Regions from separate parts of the Mus musculus genome. Here region 1 is reported to be linked to region 2. The links are microRNA targets in miRTarBase. Many come from high-throughput screens and were not tested one by one. Region 2 holds a microRNA gene; the other region holds the end of a gene's coding sequence.

The links. Region 2 holds the annotated microRNA mmu-miR-185-5p (UGGAGAGAAAGGCAGUUCCUGA, at 864-885, opposite strand). A microRNA usually pairs through its seed, bases 2 to 8, with sites in the 3' UTR of a target mRNA and lowers its output. Matches are read on the target gene's strand: a 7mer-m8 pairs with bases 2 to 8, a 7mer-A1 pairs with bases 2 to 7 and ends in A, and an 8mer does both.
Region 1: miRTarBase lists Rorb as a target of mmu-miR-185-5p. The part of its 3' UTR that is shown has no 7-base or 8-base seed match.

The regions. Positions count from the first base shown.
Region 1 is chr19:18,935,402-18,938,401 of GRCm38, reverse strand. Rorb (RAR-related orphan receptor beta) reads left to right here. Exons shown (of 10, transcript NM_001043354.2): 10 at 367-3,000. The coding sequence ends at 522. Among named protein-coding and RNA genes, the nearest start is that of Rorb, 170 kb to the left of the region's middle.
Region 2 is chr16:18,326,575-18,329,726 of GRCm38, forward strand. Mir185 (microRNA 185) reads right to left here and starts at 891; the gene lies at 827-891. The region is part of intron 1 of Tango2 (transport and golgi organization 2); the gene reads right to left.

The DNA of each region.
Region 1 (3,000 bases), not on the chromosome of region 2:
ACACTGTCTTTGACTCTTAGGAAGCAGGATTCTGTTCATAGTACTTGCCTGCTTAGCACCCACTCACCAGCATGAAACAAGAATGCCTCCTTTGCATATTTTATTTCAGAATAATGAACCAGGAGTCTTAGACCTCCTGGCTTGCTTGCTTTCTCTTCTCTGTTTTTTTTTTTTTTTCTTACCATGGGCTGAGAAATATGTTTTTGTTTTCTTTTCAAGGGAAGCTGAAAGTGAGCCTTCATTCTCTCTGAACATCTTTTTCCAAAGCCATTTACCTTTATCTGGGTCCCCAAAAAGACACTAATTCACAAGACAGTCCACTAACGAGCTTCCCTCTTTGTCTCCCTCTGTCTCTGTGTTCTGCAGTTAATAGCCAAGATACCAACTATCACGGCAGTCTGCAACTTGCATGGGGAGAAGCTGCAGGTATTTAAGCAGTCTCATCCAGACATAGTGAATACACTGTTTCCTCCATTGTACAAGGAGCTCTTTAATCCTGACTGTGCTGCGGTCTGCAAATGAAGGGGACGAGAACTCTCAGAGTCATGGAATGCATCGCCGTTAAGACAAAAGCAATGTGTTCATGGGGACTTAAGGAAAATGTCACTACTGCAACATTAGGAATGTCCTGCACTTAATAGAAATATTTTTCACCGCTACAGTTTGAAGAATGTAAATATGCACCTGAGTGGGGCTCTTTTGTTTGTTCGTTTGTTGTTTGTTTGTTTTTGAAATGATCATAAATATACAAATATAGGACACTGGGTGTTATCTTTTTTAATTTTATTCGGGTATGTTTTGGAGACAACTGTTTATAGAATTTTATTGTAGATATATACACAAACAGAGCCGTACTTTCCATGATTACTCTTCCCGTTGATTGATTGTTCGACTCTAATTTAAGACGATTCCACTTACTAGGCTTTACCTATTTCTATGTTTTTAGGTAGTTGATGCATGTGCAAATTCGTAACTAACTGTCTTGGAAAGTACTGTGCATGTATGTAATGAGTATATAATATGTAAGAGTATTATATATGACTATTACGTATTCATGCACTGTGGCTTAAAATACCATGCCCACTAGCAATGGAGGTTCAGTCAGGCTTTCATGTGATTTGCTGTTGTTATATGTTACTTTTATGTTAGACAATCAGGGTTTTCATTTCCAGCCAGAGTTTTTATCCATCCATAACAACATGATAGGACCCATGCAAAAGGAAATCTACAAAAGAATCGGGGTAACACATAATTGTTCTTTTAAAAGCTCCATTTCTATCAATTACTTCAAAGCCCCATCAAGATGGCACATACCGGGAAGAGGGGAAGCCAAAAGGATTTGAAGCCACTTTCCTGTTTTATAGACCAGATAATGATATTGTCTATTTATTACCATATTACAAAATATTGAGGTTCCTCCACATTGGATTTGGAATCCAATTCTGAATGAAACTTCACTTTGGTGGTTATAATTTCTTCAAGACAACAAAAAATTCAGTCTATAGATTATCACCACCATCAACGTTTTTAGAAATATTTGACTAGAAGTATAAAACAAGTTCCTTGTACCCATTTTGTGTAGATATTTTCTAACCATTTTCCCAACAAAAAAAGAGAAATAGAGCATACAAAGTTAAGAAGTAAATTCACTAAATTATACTCATGGTAATTTGTTAGAAATGAGAAAATAGGCGGGAGCCTGTTTTTTCAACTTCAAAATGCTATATTATAAAATATAGAAAAAATTCAGATTAGAAAACAGTAAATCTTTTGTCTATGGGACTAATATATCCCAATGCCAAAATTCTATCCTACACAGTTATAAATGACATCCTCTATTCAAACTGGTTATTTTTTAGCCACTAAAATGTATAGAATGGAACGGCAACCTATACAGGTTCTTCACCTACTTTCCTACAAAATTAAGCACCAGAAAGGCATGAGTTAGAAGCTATTTGTTCTCTCTGTTCCTGGAAGGCCTAGGTCTTTAGTATGAACTAGTCTAAGCCACACACACGCACGAACATGCACACAGATGACACAGCCACCCACAGACACACACACATACACACACACACACACACACACACACACACACACACCGCTTTGTAGAAACTTGGGTCTTTTGGTTTGGGTTTCTGGGTTTGTTTGTTTGTTTTTTCTTTTCTTTTCTTTTCTTTTCTTTTCTTTTCTTTTCTTTTTTTTTTTTTTTTTTTTTTTTTTTTTTTTTTTTTTTTTTTTTTTGAGTCATTTTTAGTCCCTTATGCTCTCTCAAAGTTCTGGATTGAGAGTCATCTTCAGGATGCCTCAGAACTCCAGTGGATGATCAGAGCACAGTAGTGTTAGTCTTGCCTTTCAGAAAACAGGGGCCTTTCTCACCTCATGATTGATGAATTCCAAGCCATTGGGGGAAAACAAAAAGACTTTAAAATAATGAATCTCTTTTTCAACCACTGTTATATTCAATTAATTTAACTACATTGAACCAAATTACCTTTGGTTCTGAGAAGACAGCTGTAGACTGCTTATTATGCTGCTACAGGGACTCAGTTCTTTTTGGTGTAAATGTCACTCCTGCTAGCTCTTTGTATAAAGAATTAATTCCAAGAGTCATATTTCCTTCTAATGGAAAGATTACTTTACTGATTGCTAGGAAAACAGGGTAATGGAAGGCACTCAATTAAACCAAGCCGTTTCCAAATGCGATATATGTTTTATGATTGGCTTGTGATAGGAAATGCTTACTGTGTCTACTTGATGTTCCCCTTTGAGCTTTGAACTCATGTCAAACTTTGTTTTCATTGTTCTGTTGGCCCAGTGTTTCCCATTGTCAGCCTGAAGATCCCACTGGGCTGCAAAGGGGAATCATTTGTTGTCTTCAGTTTACCTTGGAGGATTTACATCAGCTCAATTGATGAAGTAGCTAAGAATTTTTTTCCTCCCTTGCCCCATGGGTGGTGTAGGAAAGAGATTGTTCCCCACATTTGCCTCAGGAGATAC
Region 2 (3,152 bases):
ACACTGTGGGGTGAAGAACCCTAAAATTCAGTGACCTTGGCAATTAATTAAGATTGACATGCATATCACAGACTAGCCATTCTAGAAAAAGAAAAGCAGTCAGGAAAACAGCTATGGGATAGAAAAAGCAAGAGAGAAAACCAGGGGTCAAAGCACAAAAAGGAATCTTTACAAAGTTCTTTGAAAAATGACAGCCGCCGGTCATTTTTCAAATGTGGTGGCACTCGCCTTTAATCCCAGCACTTGGGAGGCAGAGGCAGTTTCTGAGTTCGAGGCCAGCCTGGTTTACAGAGTGAGTTCCAGGACAGCCAGGGCTACACAGAGAAACCCTGTCTTGAAAAAAAACAACAACAAAAAATGACCGCCATAGGGCCCACGAAGGCCAACAGCATTATGGGGTGTGTGTGTGTGTGTGACAGAACAATGATAAATTCAAGACCGGACTGGACACAGCTAATGAGACAGGCAGTGCAAAGAACTGTCTTTATGGGAGGTATTGGACCTACATGCCCCTCCTATCAGCTGCTGGTGTCAGGAAGAGGCTTTGGCTCTTAGACTCCTTTGGTCCTCCCTAGGCTGTACTGGGTAGGACCTCTGGCAGAGGCAGCTATCAGCAGACATAGCCAGATCAAGGGTGTTTCTCTAGTTCAGCTGCAGGACCTGCCATCCTAGCTGGCCCTAGCAGACCAGCCCTCTAGGTTGGAGATGTGAGGAGGGCTCCAAGGTCCACAGGAAGGCCATCGATGTGTCTCCAGGCAGCCTGGAGTTGGAGGTGCTGCCAGAGCTCAGGGTTGCAGCATCGATGAAGACGCAGTCATTGGGAGAGAAGGACCAGAGGAAAGCCAGCCCCTGGGAGGGGACCATCAGGAACTGCCTTTCTCTCCAATCCCTCACCCCCCACTCAAGCCAGGCCCGCTGCCCCACAGTCCCTCTGCCGTCTCTGGCCAGCAAATTACTCCTCATACCTTTTTCCTGATATACCTCTCCCGTAACAGATCCTGCCTTTACCTAAGCCCAGATGTTTTCCCAGGAAGCGGCTGGCAAGCCCCTGTGAATGCCAGGCATCTCCAACCGGCACCCGAGGGTCTGATGCTCTTTTCGGGACTTGGTGAGGTCCCTTCTGCTATGCCACTTCTTTAGCCCCTTTCTTGCTCCTGTTCACCTGTGGGCTGAGAGCAAACCCTAGCCATTCCCTAGCCTTCTGATCGCACACTGCAGAGAAAGTAGGTACGTGATAGTCAAAACTACCTCACAGGGTTCACACCCCTGAACTCACTAGATACTTCCCATGCTCTCTGGACCAGCAGGGCCCATGGGACCACAACAGAGCGCTCGTACCACAGGGGGTCCTTAAAGGCCATAAGGCTGTGTCCGAGGGCCATGTCCTGGGGAGAGATGTGCCTGGATTTCTTCATGATAATTCTACCTCGCTATTCCTGGGCTTATTATTAGCTAGTGGGTTTTCAGTAGAATTTCTGTTCTTGGCAGTCCAAAAAAAGCCCGAGTGACCAGGGTCATAAAAACTGTAGAATTGCTTGAGGTCAGATTAGTCAGTTACAATGGTGAGAGATTAAAAAAATAAAACTCCCTGGAAGAGCTGGAGAAATAAGTCAGCAATTAAGAGCACTGGCTGAGTCGGGCGTGGCGCACGCCTTTAATCGTAGCACTTGGGAGGCAGAGGCAGGCGGATTTCTGAGTTTGAGGCCAGCCTGGTCTACAGAGTGAGTTCCAGGACAGCCAGGCCCACACAGAGAAACCCTGTCTCAAAAAACAAAACAAAACAAAACAAAAAACAAACAATAACAAAAAAAGGGCACTGGCTGCTCTTCAGAGGGCCTGGGTTCATTTCCCTGCATGCACAAGGTGGCTCACAACCATCTGTATCTCCAATTTCAGGGAGTCCAATGCCTTTTCCGGGCTCCCTGGTCCACTGCACACATGTGGTACATGGACATACACTCAGGAAAAACACCCATATACATAACAATAAAATGGAAAACAAAACCAAAAACCCTCTGGGCATTTGTAGAAAGGGAGGAGGGTGACAGCCTGCTAAGCACAGGGCCTCAGTCCTGGGGGTTCCTCGGAAAGCAGTGAGCAAAGGCTGAGACCATGATAGTAGATTCCAGCCTGGGGACTGGGACCCATGCCAAAAGGTTCTTGAGGTTACAAGTGCAGAAAGAGCCCAGAGCACCCACATCTCACACCCACCTGTCACTGGACAGAGGGCTCACACTATGTCCTTGGCCTCTATAAAAAAAGTCAAGCACCCCATTTCCACCAATACAAGTACACCTCTCTGCTCAGTGGGCTCACTGGCAGCCAAGGTGTGTACAGTGCAGGCTCAGTGCAGGAGACCTGGGCTACCTACAGCCTACATACTCTAATAGTCTCTTTGGAATGTCCTGCTTGTGGAAAGAGTCCTCACTAACACAAAGCCTTGGGCAATGCCAGATAGGCTCTGTTACTATGACTTGTGATGGTGGCCTTGGGACATGTAGTTATCAGCTGGATATTACAAAAAGTCAGCCACATGGTACAGAAATCTGCCAATTCCATATAATCAAGTTCTAGTAAAATAAAACCATGGATACCCAGCTTAGCAAGTTTTCCAGCTGGCAAATTCCATCTGTGTTGTTCACATACCGCTGCTGAGAATTGAGCAGGGGCACGCAGCTCCATTGAGAAATGGCAAATAGGAACCTGTGCCTAGTCTTGCTTAGATTCTGTGCTTTGTCCTTTTTCTACTGTTGATTTTAATCGATACCCATCCCTTGTAATAAACTGTACTAAGACTACAACTCTGATCTGATAGGGATCAGTTGAATGAAGATGGTTTTGAGGTTTCTTCAACAAAACTGTGGCCCTACAAGAAGTCACCACACAGTGACTCAGAGAGGGGAGCACCCTGGTGTAAGGCCATGCAGTGGCCCCTGCTTCCTGATGACACCCTAGCCCTTTCACTCCCTTCCATATCTGTGAGCTGCTATATTCACCACATTCCTCAGAGCAGCGGGGGCCCTAGGGCCCATCAACCGGCCACTTCGGCTACTTCCACAGCCCAGGCCACTGAACCCAGGTGGTCCAAAGAGACCACCGACCCCTTTGCTCTACGAGGACATCCCACAGGCCCAGAAAACTCTGCTGTTGGT